Linked DNA regions of Tribolium castaneum. Each later gene encodes a partner of the first gene's protein in a complex. Links are inferred from orthologs where the notes say so. Each region holds a gene or a part of one and is shown on either strand. Other genes may lie near its edges.

What was found. Proteins that work in one complex are often made in the same cells at the same time.
Region 2: the proteins of eEF1gamma (region 1) and probable elongation factor 1-delta are in contact, whole or in part, in a crystal structure (PDB 5JPO), measured with the Homo sapiens proteins. The link is inferred for Tribolium castaneum from reciprocal best matches to the Homo sapiens genes EEF1G and EEF1D. Residues at the interface, in NP_001395.1 of Homo sapiens: Tyr9, Trp13, Arg14, Phe40, Gly41, Asn44, Gly56, Lys57, Val58, Ser104, Val107, Pro108, Ser111, Thr112, Phe115, Ile120, Met121, His123, Asn130, Glu134; in NP_001123527.1 of Homo sapiens: Ala2, Asn4, Phe5, Leu6, His8, Glu9, Ile11, Trp12, Phe13, Lys15, Phe16.
Region 3: the proteins of eEF1gamma (region 1) and elongation factor 1-beta' are in contact, whole or in part, in a crystal structure (PDB 5DQS), measured with the Homo sapiens proteins. The link is inferred for Tribolium castaneum from reciprocal best matches to the Homo sapiens genes EEF1G and EEF1B2. Residues at the interface, in NP_001395.1 of Homo sapiens: Leu146, Lys147, Thr148, Arg149, Thr150, Phe151, Glu155, Arg156, Pro185, Asn186, Arg189, Leu192, Thr193, Asn196, Gln197, Pro198; in NP_001032752.1 of Homo sapiens: Ala20, Asp21, Lys22, Ser23, Tyr24, Tyr28, Val29, Cys50, His51, Arg54, Asn57, His58, Ser61, Tyr62, Glu65.

The regions. Positions count from the first base shown.
Region 1 is NC_087402.1:7,326,353-7,331,016, forward strand, and holds eEF1gamma (elongation factor 1-gamma), read right to left. Parts: upstream 3,148-4,664; 5' UTR 2,999-3,147; coding exon 2,987-2,998; intron 2,869-2,986; coding exon 2,719-2,868; intron 2,664-2,718; coding exon 2,448-2,663; intron 2,250-2,447; coding exon 1,955-2,249; intron 1,540-1,954; coding exon 1,492-1,539; intron 1,440-1,491; coding exon 979-1,439; intron 932-978; coding exon 776-931; 3' UTR 655-775; downstream 1-654. Other genes in the region: cnir (protein cornichon homolog 4), read left to right, coding at 38-115, 185-507, 558-624; putative lipid scramblase CLPTM1, read left to right, coding at 4,374-4,457, 4,508-4,664. UniProt on the Homo sapiens protein: Probably plays a role in anchoring the complex to other cellular components.
Region 2 is NC_087403.1:8,552,452-8,556,991, forward strand, and holds the start of probable elongation factor 1-delta, read right to left. Parts: upstream 3,153-4,540; 5' UTR 2,996-3,152; intron 2,881-2,995; exon of another isoform or gene 2,875-2,880; 5' UTR 2,870-2,874; coding exon 2,783-2,869; intron 2,571-2,782; coding exon 2,493-2,570; intron 2,404-2,492; coding exon 2,325-2,403; intron 2,279-2,324; coding exon 2,057-2,278; intron 1-2,056. Other genes in the region: uncharacterized protein CycE, read right to left, coding at 3,719-3,958, 4,010-4,227.
Region 3 is NC_087399.1:8,214,954-8,218,133, reverse strand, and holds elongation factor 1-beta', read right to left. Parts: upstream 1,644-3,180; 5' UTR 1,597-1,643; coding exon 1,508-1,596; intron 1,462-1,507; coding exon 894-1,461; 3' UTR 853-893; downstream 1-852. Other genes in the region: Hap40 (40-kDa huntingtin-associated protein), read right to left, coding at 1-124, 171-235; ND-75 (NADH-ubiquinone oxidoreductase 75 kDa subunit, mitochondrial), read left to right, coding at 1,912-2,221, 2,271-2,841. UniProt on the Homo sapiens protein: Catalytic subunit of the guanine nucleotide exchange factor (GEF) (eEF1B subcomplex) of the eukaryotic elongation factor 1 complex (eEF1).

The DNA.
Region 1 (4,664 bases):
TCATTTAATTTAAAATACTCATCGAAACGCCAACAATATGATATTTTCGGATCCACTGCTTTTCGCTTTTTCTCTTTTAAACACCGGAGCAGTATTATTTCTTCTGGTCTATTTTGTATCCTTTTTTGTATTTGTACTGAATAGTTTTGAACAAAGCGTATAATTTCTTTAATTTAGCGTTCAGGTAATTACTTTGTCTGATTTAGAATGCGACTATTTAAACGCTCAAGAATGTTGCTCGAAACTGAACCAGTGGAGTCTCCCTAAATTGATAGCTCATGGGTTTTTATCGTTTCTGTTTTTAATTCACGGCCATTGGATTTTAGCACTGCTAAACTTGCCAATGGCATTTTGGATGGTGTATGAGTTAGTATCAGTGCCAAGTGGAAATTTGGGGATCTATGACCCCACAGAGATTCACAATAGAGGTCAATTAAAGAAGCATATGAGGGACTGTATGATTTATTTAGGATATTATTTACTGTTCTTTTTTGCGTATCTGTACTGGTGAGTTGTGTCTATTTATATCAAACATTGCGCAACTTGTTTATTTTTAGCATGATTGTGGCTTTGTTGAAAGGTGATCCCCTCAACAGAGACGATCAGTTTGAAGCCGACTTATAGTGTAATAGGTTTATTCAAATAAAACATAAATTATCCTCAAAGCGTTTTATTGAAAGAAAAACAGTTAGGGTTAAACAACTGACAAACGATGGATTTAAATTAAATTATCAAAAGGACATGGTTGTAAAAAAAATATATTACACCTCAGGTTTTACTTAAAGATTTTGCCCTGGTTAAACTTCCTTCCCTTTTTGTCAGTGCCAGTCCATGAGAAGTATTGGGCAACTAATTTTTTAGTCTCTTCTGATTTTGCATCCAATTTCTTCCAATCATACGACTCGTAGTCGATTTGCCAGTCAGGACTCAACTACAAAACTCAATCAAACCAATTTTAAAAACACAGAATCAACGTACAGTGAATGCGAGGTCGTGGCCCCTCCACACCCAAATCCCGGAGATTGAACTGTTATTGTCCTCACCAAAAAGACAAACTGAGGCAAAGGCTTGTTTGCGCATTTTATCCAATCTCTGATACATTCCGGTGATCAAATTGCAGCTCATAAAAATCTTAGTGAGCTCTTCAGGGTACTTATATTCCCCGTACCAAATAGTGTAGTTTTCAGGATCGAACTTCTCCCAGAAATACGGAATTGATTTGGCTTCATCTTCGTTAGAATAAAATCTCTTGAAATCGTCCATATTGAACGTCCCTTTGGGCATGGATTCAAAGGGGTCCTTCGATTTGGGCTCGGCAGCGAGCGCTGCTTCAGCCGCATCCATTTCTTCAACGGGCTCTTTCTCCTTTTTTGGTGTTTCCTTTTTAGGCTGCTGCTGCTGCTTCTTCTCTTTTTTCTCCTCTTTCTTTTTGTTCTTACCTGTTGGTGGAAAAGCAACTAAGCAAGACGAATAAAACCACACTTAACTTACTCTTCTTTTTATTATTTTTCTCCGCAACAATACTGTTAGTATTAGCAGCTTGTAAAATTATTTTTGGGTTAAGGGATTTAACACAGGTTGCAATAAACTGAACAGTACTTAATCCATTATGTGCAGCATATGGACACTAGGATGCAACACATTTATTGCGATAATTGCTTTGAACACCGTCGCATATTTATCAAAATACTAGAAATACTGTTGAAGACAAAAAAAGTCTAGGAATATAAAAAAAGTCCCCGGACTTTTTGCACTTTCCAAACTCGTTAGGTAAACAACTATTACACACTAACGTTAGGAAACAGAAATCGAGTTAGTACCGACGTTTGCTTCCTAGTATTTAACTCTCCATAGTACGGTATACATTATAAACAAGACCATTTACTCATAGAATTTTATGCAGCAAAAGAATTAAATACTGATCATTTGAACCGTTAAAAAAACTTTGGCTTACCTTCACCTCCCTGCGCGCCGGTGAAAGGTTGTGCAACTTTGTCCAAAAATTGCACCTGGCCCAAAACGGCCTTAAACTGAGGTTGGTTGATTAAAGTTGTGAACCATCTGTTAACGTTGACGAATGGTTTTCTAAAGTCGGGATCGAACGCATATTTGTATAAATTTGAAAGATTGCAAGCTACAACAATATCAGCTAAAGTGATACGTTCCCCAACTAGATAAGTACGGGTAAGCAAATGGCTGTCTAGGATTGCCAGAGCAGCCCTCATGTCCTCCTTGGCTCTTGCATATCCCTAGAATCACGAAAACTGGGTCAGTCTAGTGACAAAACTGGGCGAAAATCACTTGTTACAATAATATAACTTAACTGAGCGCCACCGAGACACTCAGTAATGGGTAATTGTCTTAATATACCTCCTTGAGTTACAAATCAACCAACCGGATTGGTTAATTTGCCTTTGAAGGAGGACGCGAGAAAATACGTAATTTACCTCCTCAGTGGCGGCGTTCTTCTTGACAACCCCCAAAATGGGGAACACCCAGGCACAGCCAGCTGGGAGTATCTCCGACTCTCCAAAGCCCACCCATTGCAAAATCTGGGCTTTCTCGTACTCCGACTTGCCTCTCAATTGTTCATTGGCGACGTAGTAAGCAATTGCGTTGCTGTCTTGCAGATACTTGCCATCGTTTGACTCGAAAGCTGGCACCTATACAACTGTCCAGTGTGACTTAACCTCAATTTTGAAGCGCGTCCAGACTCACCTTTCCACTGGGAAATTTCTTTAAGAATTCTTTCGACTTGTTGGTTTCACCGAACACAAAGTTTGGGCTTACTTTAACATTGCTTTTGGAGTACTGGGCAGCGATTAAAGCCTTAGCAGCACGGAAATTGTCGGGATAGGTGTACAGTGTCTGAAAAAATAAACACAAAACTGTCAAAGATAATGCCGGATTTGGGTTATTCAACGGTTTTCTGCCGATGATTGTGTCATAAATGCGAGATATTTGAGGAAATTTCGATAATACTTACTCCTGCAGCCATTGCTCGTCCAATTTCTCACAGAAAAGGACTTGAAGAGTTTGACAGCTGCATAGGGAATTTTGGGCTTGCGGTCTGGTGACGTGTCGGGCTTAGGCCTTTTTTTTTCGATTTTTACAGCCTCGAAATGCCCGCTTTTGTGCAAAAAACAACACTAAATTGCACACATCTTCCAGGAATTATACAAATTATTTTTTTTCTTTAAAAAGGCCCACTAAAAATAACAGAACCGTACTTAGACTTTCTGCCCTAAAGGATTAAATGCCTATTTTCTAGTAGGCTTTATAAGGTACTTTTTATCTTGTATGAAAACCAAGAAAACGCTGATTATAATAATTAATTAAGCTGAAGAACTAAATGCACCTGTCTATCAATTATATACACATTATATACAAAAAAAACGTCTATTCTAATTATAAATTCCGATGATCGCGTGGTATCTTTGTTCCTTGAATAAATAAAAAATACTTGATAATTCCACATAGTAACGTATTTAGGTGCATTGCCGCCTCGGGGTACTTAACTTTGGGCTTTTCTGCCTATGACATAGTCTTTAAAAAAGAAAAAAACATTTATTAGTTAATTCAGAAAAGAAGAAAAAAAATATAAATATTTAAAAATAAACACTTTTTATTAACAGAGAGACATTTTTTGCCATACTTTGGAAAGTTTTAAAAAACTAAAGCCAAAATATAGTACTTTTTACTCTGTTTTTACAGCCTGTTCAATTATCTAAAAAAAATTTGGTGTCGTTTTTTTTGAATTACTAAAAAAATAACACAAAAATTTCTAATTTTTGTTTTTTTTTTTTTACAAGCAAATACCAAAGAAAAAGTAGAACATTCTTCAGGCAATTTTTACAAAAAAATCTAAATCCTTCGTCATTTTTTCCAAGGCGTTCTTGATTACAGAGTTGCAACACTCAACTTTGGGTATTCTTATGAATGCCACATTTGCATTTCGTATTTGTTATAAGTGTTTTTACTTCTGATGACAACGATGTATCATCACGTGATATGATTGAATCTTACATGCAAGAAATCATTTTTGCGAAGAGTGCTTTGGAAAATGTCAAGTCGAATTTTTCTTCTGTGTTTGTTTTATTGAATAAACACTATTATTTTTTTATTTTATTTGTAACTTTGGTTGTGCGATTAATTTATGTTTTTGGTGATTGTTAGATGAACAGAGATTAAGGATATTTTGTATAAAAGTTGCCTGAGCCCGGCCCTGTCCGCTGTTCGCGTTGGCTACCCTGCCCTAACCACGACTCATTACCGATACCAACCTCATAAAATTCAAAACGAAAAGTCATTTCGTTCATGTGATGTGGTCAATGATTAATTAAATTTCAAAAGAATTGAGAAATTGACACGAAATGGCTGATCCCCAAGCCGAGAATAATCCGTCAGCCAACGGCCAAGTGGCCAAACCGGACGAAACCCAACCGACCCAAAATGCAGTAAGCAAATCAATAAAATCGCACAAATCCTCCTAAGCCCCCATTTCTAGCCCCAGCAACCGCAGCATCAGCCAACCCGAATGGAGTCATTTTTCGCAATCACCAAATCGCTAATAATCCGCGCCTTGATCATCTACTTCATCACGTCCTTCTTCCGCAAACCTGCGCCCCCGCAGACCAACAACACGGGGGTCACTACACCGTCCT
Region 2 (4,540 bases), on another chromosome or scaffold:
GGTAGGGGGTGATTTGGCGCGACAAGGGCCCAGAGTTGGGCGAATAGTATTAGTAGGTTAGCAGTAAGAGAACCCTGTTGACAGAAGACAAAATAAAGTTGTTATTGTTGGAAGATGGTGTTTTAATGCAATAAACATACAGTCCACATTTAAAAAACTGTATGTTTATTCGCATTAAAACACCACCTTCTAACAATAACAATATTTTCTAACATTCTAACAATAACAAATTATTTTGTCTTCCGTCAACAGGGTTCCCTTACTACTAACTTACTAATACTACTGCTCCCAATTCTGGGCCTTTGTCGGCCCAAACCACCCTCTACCCTCTTGTGCTAAAGATAGAGTAGAATTCTTAACATACATCATCCCCTAGAAATTAACCATCCTTAATTAGAAATTTTAAATGAAACCCCCTGCTTTTTGAAGCTACCCCTAACTAAAAAAAGTCAACAAATATTAGTTTTCTCCACGCTTAACTTTATTGCCTCCCATCCAAAAATGTTTCAAAAAGTAGAGAGAGCTATTTAAAATGTTAAAGAAATGTAGGTTTTTAAACTCTACCCTCGCAGACTAAAATATTGTTTGTCTTAATTAAATAGGCTTAAGATCTAGTAGAATAGCAAAACAAATTATTATAAAGGTCATCTATGACTGTTAGACGCGATGTGTCGTTGAATCAAAATTTTGAATGCTGGCAAACAAAAGCAAAAGCGCTTCAAACTTAGAAACTACAGAACATACACAAGAAAATACAAAAACGTAAAACACAAATAAAGACAAACGATACAATTGAAACAACATTGCCTAAAAAAAATGAAAAAACAACTAATTAACAGATCTTACAGAGATGACAGTAAGTACTCAGAAACTACAGCAGTCATTTGAACGAAGCGGTATTGAATTTAGATTCCATAGTCGACTTATTGATGAAGAAGCAGATTTGCACACTCTAGATTATCAAGTAATTAAACACCAAATTATGGAAACTCAAAAAAGCACACAGCCGAATTGCTGCACAAAATACAGGGTAAAATATAAAAATATATTTTTGAAAAAATATTCTTTGTCACTTTTGATCGTTGTTAGAGTCTTTGTCACACCTCCTTTTTGTCGTATTTTTTTAAATCGTTTAACAACACTGAAATCTTCACAAACGTCATCAGCACTGCTTTACAGTATCTATACAGCGTGTTAAGAAATGGTTTAGCAAAAATTTGAAGGTAGATAAAGAATGGCAAAACAAATCGATTAGGTATATTCCCAAAAAATCATTCTGAAGCTAAATTCCTAAATTTTGAGAATCGCTGAACTGGAATTATAAAAATTAGTGTATATTTTAAAATTATTGACAAAACGGCAGAGGTGAATTTACTTTTTGGTCCACTCTGTAATTCTTCTATTTCAACTAGTAAATTTAACCGTCAAAACCCTTAGCCGATGAAACCAATTTCAATAAAGATGATATTTAATTCGCATTGCTAAATAATTTATTCTCCCTATGGAGAATAAAACACAAACACAATTACCGAAGTGACAAACTGTAAACAAATATCTGCTAAAATTTGCAAATAAAACATAGTTTTGTTTTTAACTGGAGCCATCTTTTCTTATTTTTATTTTAAGCAATTGGATTCAAATTGAAAAGTAAAATTATGTCGTTTGAGGTCGGAGTACCTACCGATCCCAAACCGAGGTTTATTGCCATGACATTTTCAAATCACCCTACTGTACTTAATATTGACGAATGTAAAATTTTGAATAAATTTTGAACATAATAAACCAGATATCTATCTATCTATCTATATTCTTGAAATTCGAAGTTGCAATCATATTATGATAGAACCGAAAAACGTTCTTATAAAAACGGCTTACGATCAATGTTTTCCTACACTGTTAATAGATGTAATACATCTGTTAACATTTAACTGATAAATCAGTCACTGTTAGTCAAATAAAAAAAAGTTAAAAATGCAAAAACCATACAGCTGGTTTTGCATCTACACGACTCAAATATGAACCAATTTGTCAATAGTGAAATTGTTATTGCGTTTACTTTTAGACTTTTTCGCGTTGTAAGCAGCCAGACGCTCCTCCCTCAGCTTGGCGGCGGCTTCGTTCTCCTCCTCGGATTCGGAGCCGAACAGATCGACGTCGTCGTCGTCGTCAGCGGCGGGTTTCGGGGCTGGTGCAGGTTTGGGAGCGGAATTGACGCTTTTCTCGACTTTGGAAAGACGCAATTCTAGCTGTTTTATGCTCTCCACCATCGCGTTAATAGCTGTGGAATAATTATTAATTTGGGTTTGAGTGGTTATAAAGCGTACTTTTCTCAAATTCGACGGCCTTTTTCTCGAAGAATTTGATCGCGCCGTGATCAGTGGATTGGGTCTCGGACGCAGGGGCCTGTAATTTTGAGCCGTAAGACAATTGGTCATTGAAAGATTGATGGGTTAGTATGGGATGCAAATGGGTTAAGTCAAGCCTTTACTCACATCTTTAAAAGAATCCCTACTTTGAATAAGAAGTTGTCGCGCCTTGGCAACTTCGCCCGCCAAAGGAGTTACGGACGCCTACACCAAACAGAACACCATTATGTTAATACCAGTACGTCTCGTACTCGAAAATAAACACCCAATTAGTAGGACAAGTGTCACCTAGACAAGAACAATACTTTTGCCGATTTTCCATATGAATTTTGTTAGATTTTGAAGAAATGGAAGCGAATTGAATACTACTCTAAACGGTTTTATTTTTGCACGGTTTCACTGTTCTAGCCACTTACCTTTGCCAAGTTCTCGTAATACTTTGTCTCTGCGTCCTCGTAAATTGATTTGGTGAGCCAAATATTCTCGTATTGCATGTACTCCATTGCGGCTAAAAGTATTTCAGGTTAGAACACACGTGTCGTAATTTTGAAACAAACACAGTCAAGACTATCAAATAACTACTAACAAATTCAATCTTGACTTTGGCTAACTACGCCTACAAAAATTACCTAGAATTTTTGCTGTTTTTTAATAGATTTCTTGTACTCTGTTATATGGGGAGACAGCTGTTCTCGAAAAGGTTATGTCGACAGGGTCGCCAACACAAAAAATAAAATCCCCAGACCCGGGAACACATTTGATTCAAATATGTTTAAATATTTCCAAGTGTTTCGATTAAAACCTAAACTCAAGGACTTATCTCTAAAAGAATACCAGATGTCATTTTTTGCAAAATTTTTATTTGGGCAAGCAGCCATTCCCCAAACTCAAGTAGTACCAAAACAGTTTATTTCAAATTCCAAATATACAAAAATATGTATAAAATACAGTCTTTTTAAGTGACTACAAGACTCTAAATTACGATTAAAATAATCCAAAACAATTTGCTTGACTAAAACTGGAACGACACCAAACGCTATAAAAGTTACATCATAGATCTCGCGTCACGCTAAAACAATTAAGTTAAAATCGAATATATTACAATTGACTAATTTATGCTAATAAATATGATTTGTCTATGACTAAAATTGAAGTGAAATGTTTAGCAAAAATTTACAAAGGTTACAACGCTTCTTTACAAATAGATCTCAATATTTAAAACTATTGATCACAGTTTAGAAAAGGCACTAGTGTAGTGAGATAAATAATACGAACGAGGAAACTAACACTTAAGAACAAGTCATAAAATACACATCTTAACTAGTTACGAACAATAGTAACAACATAAACCCCTAACTAGAATCCTTACTCCCTTCTTGGCCTAAAATAAGCTCAAAAATTTCGTCCAAAGTCATCAAATTGTGGTCAACAGTAGTAGCGCTGGCATCCTCTTTTGCCAGCTCCGTTAAATTCTCAAGTTCTTCAGTCAAATCAACCGTTTCATTGTTTTCCTCTGTTGCAGGAACACTTGTGGTATCTTCATTAGCAGTAGAAGGCCGTAATTTATTCAATCTGTAGATTGTTGCTGTCTCCTAAACAGATTTGTTTAGAAAAACACAAAAACAAAGTCAAACAATACTAACAAAGTACTCCATGCTGGCAATGTGGGTTTGAAACGAGTAATTTTCACTTTGGGGTCCCGATTGCACCCGGCGGAGAAGCCCGGCCGAAAGTCGGCTCATTTCCTCGGGATGAGGGCCACCGAGACAGGAGTACAGACGCGGATCGGGGGCGTCTTTAATAATTATGTAGAACACCTCCATGTAGTCGACGCAAGGCTCCAGTTGCGACCAATCGAAACCTATAAATTGTTATTAACTTTTTGATAATCTTACTTCTGCTTAAGTTTGAACTTTTCTCTTTAATTTTTTCATCGAAAAAATTTGATTTCAAAAACTAAGCACAGAAATTTACATCAACATAATTAGCATTAAAAGCTCCAAAAATGTAAAATAAACAGTAGTGATTCATAAAAAAAACTCATTTCTGAAACACCATTTGTACTTAAAAATGATTTTGTTATGCAGGAGGTTGACCGATATCGATTTTGTATTTTTTTTAATATGTTAACATTTAAAGGCCAATCGAGGGGTAAACCGCTGAACATACATTTA
Region 3 (3,180 bases), on another chromosome or scaffold:
GCACCTTGCTGACGAAATCCAGCACATTCCGGCATAAGCTGGCAGTTCTGAGGCTTCGCATTGTTTCCCCAACGAACTGAACGACTCGCAGGCTTCTGTAACGTTTGGCTTACGCAGGAAGCGCCTACAAGGGGGCACTTTATATTTGCATGGTGCATTAAGGGGCTCACTTTTTCAGTTTGCTCGAAATCGTGTGATACTGGTCCAAAATATCGCCAGTTGGTTCAAGACTCATCTTGTATAACCTCACTTTTGGGCAGACATAACCTCACAAATTTGAATTAGGGGTAAACAATCATGAGTAAATTTAAGAAAAACGAAACCAAGGTGACTCTTGTGCGGAATACCGAGCTGCCGGTGCCCAAAACCAAACTTGTGACTGACGCTAAACGCGAAAATGTAGGGAAAAAGGGAAATCAACGGAAAGAGAGTGAACCAAATTTTGAGTTTCCGGAGCTTAATTCGCTCAGAAAAATATCTGAGAAAATCGAGAAGGTCAAAAGTGCGACCAGCACTAAGGTTTCCAATGTTGCGTTATGTGAAAAGGTGATTGAAACTTGTTATTTTCATGAAGTAACATTCTACTTTGTAGGTGACTCGAAAAGTGAATTTTCCCTTAGACAAACCAATTTATAAAGATTTGATACCACTAGAGGTGCCCTCTAAATCACCACCGGTCATAACATCGAGGGAACCTTTGCCCCAAAAAGACAAAGAACCGGTTTTATCCAACTATGTGAAACCCCCAGAACCAAGAGAATTTTATTACCAACCAAATACCAGACTTGACTCTCAATCATCACAATCACAATCCGGGTTTAGTAATTTGCGCCTTTATAAATTAATCCAAACTCATCAATAAACGCATTTATTCATCTTGAAAAATTACATTTTTAAATCTTATTAAAGGCTGCAATGTCGACAGACTGGACGAAATCCTCAAACTCCTGAATCTTCTCGACCAACTCATCAACAGACACCTTCAAGTCTTCAACCACGCACATAATTTGCAACTTGTTGATTCCATAGCCCACAGGAACCAACTTGGAGGCCCCCCAAACCAGCCCATCCATTTCAATAGTCCTGACATTCTTCTCCATCTCCTTCATATCGGTCTCATCATCCCAGGGCTTGACATCAAGCACAATACTTGACTTGGCAATAAGTTCCGGTTTCTTTGACTTCTTCTCAGCGTAGGCCTTCAGACGCTCCTCCCTTATTCTGGCAGCCTCCGCATCCTCTTCCTCGTCAGACGCGAACAAATCGACATCATCATCATCATCTTTGGTGGTCGGAGCTGCAGTTTTCATGGGGCATGCCCCCGAAACCCCCAACGACTTCAGCTCCGCAGGAGTGAAAGACTTGACATGGTTGTACCAACGCAAAGCGTGGGGCAAATTCGCAGCTGGGGCCTTTTGGAGCTTGCCAAACGCGTCCAAGTCGGCCTGAGACAACGAGTAGCTAAAAGCGAGGTTAGGTGGTGTGAAATTGATTATGAATGACCCACCCTTCGATGTAGCTGCGACTTTCGAGGAAACTGTTCAGTTCCTTCACACCTTTGTCGGTTTTGAGGTCGCCAAAGCTGGGTTTGCCCATTTTTTGAGTGCAAATGTGAGAGTGACCACGCCAGTGACAGATGGTAACGGAAAGAGAGTTTTTTAGGTTAGTTCAGTGCCACCAACTTTAGTAATGGACGTCATTTTTTGACGTTTGTTATTGAAAACACAAAAATAAGGTAATTTAAGGAAATTGGCACGTTTTTGTCACAAACAGTTTATTTGAAAATCATTACGTGGTTACGTTATAAAATTTTGTTGGATGTTTATTTGTGCTTTGGTGTAAAGTTGGGTTATAAAACCAGTCAATTATGTAATGGACATTTGCGTCAAAAACTTCTATTTCTTGTAGAAAATGCTGCGTACCACCCTTTTAAAAGCCCTCACGGGGTCCAAGCTGGGCCCCAAGCACATCACCGTCCTGTCTCGGGCCGCGAGTGATGTTGCTAAAAAGCCGGAAAAAATCGAAGTCTTTATTGACGATCAGCCTGTTTTGGTGGAACCTGGGACCACCGTCCTGCAAGCCGCGGCTTTGGTCGGTGTGGAAATCCCCCGATTTTGCTACCACGAGCGTCTCGCGGTTGCTGGTAACTGCCGAATGTGTCTCGTGGAAGTGGAAAAGTCCCCCAAACCTGTGGCGGCTTGTGCCATGCCTGTTATGAAAGGTAATCAATTTTGTTGCCCAAAAATCGTACTTTAGGTTGTGACGTTTAGGGTGGCGCATTAAAACCAACTCCGAGATGACTAAAAAGGCCCGTGAGGGGGTCATGGAGTTCCTTTTGGTGAACCACCCCCTCGATTGCCCCATTTGCGACCAAGGGGGCGAGTGTGATTTGCAGGACCAGAGTATGGCGTTCGGGTCCGATAGGTCACGGTTTACCGATATAGACTTCTCGGGGAAGAGGGCTGTGGAGGATAAGGATATAGGGCCTTTGATTAAGACGATAATGACGAGGTGTATTCACTGCACGAGGTGTATTCGTTTCGCGTCCGAAATCGCAGGGGTTGATGATTTGGGGACGACGGGACGGGGCTCCGGTATGGAAATTGGTACTTACGTACAGAAGTTTTTCTTGTCGGAGTTGTCGGGAAATGTGATTGATTTGTGTCCCGTGGGGGCGCTGACTAGCAAGCCGTATAGTTTCACAGCGAGGCCTTGGGAGATAAGGAAAATTGACTCGATTGATGTTTTGGATGCTGTTGGTTCGAATATTGTGGTCTCGACAAGGACGGGCGAGGTGATGAGGATTATGCCGAGGACTAATGAGGAAATCAATGAGGAATGGTAAGTCCATTATTAAAAAACGTTAACGAAAAAACGTTGCTTCGGAAAAATAAATCGATTTAAATCATTTAATGGCGTAATGGAGGTCTAAAAAAGCGGAGATTTTTTTGTCTTGTTTTGGCGAAATACTTGTAGCAGTTTCATTTCCTTTGCATTCACTTCCTAGTATAATTTGGGTGTAATTTGCTTTTTGCGTTTAAAGACCGATACATACCGGCTAAATTTTAGAAATTTACACTAGGGAGTGTACGCTAACAAATGCACGGCTTTTAGTTAATTTAGTTTTTACCTCAGAAACCTGCTTAAATTACATGATTTCCTGCTAACAAAAATATATAT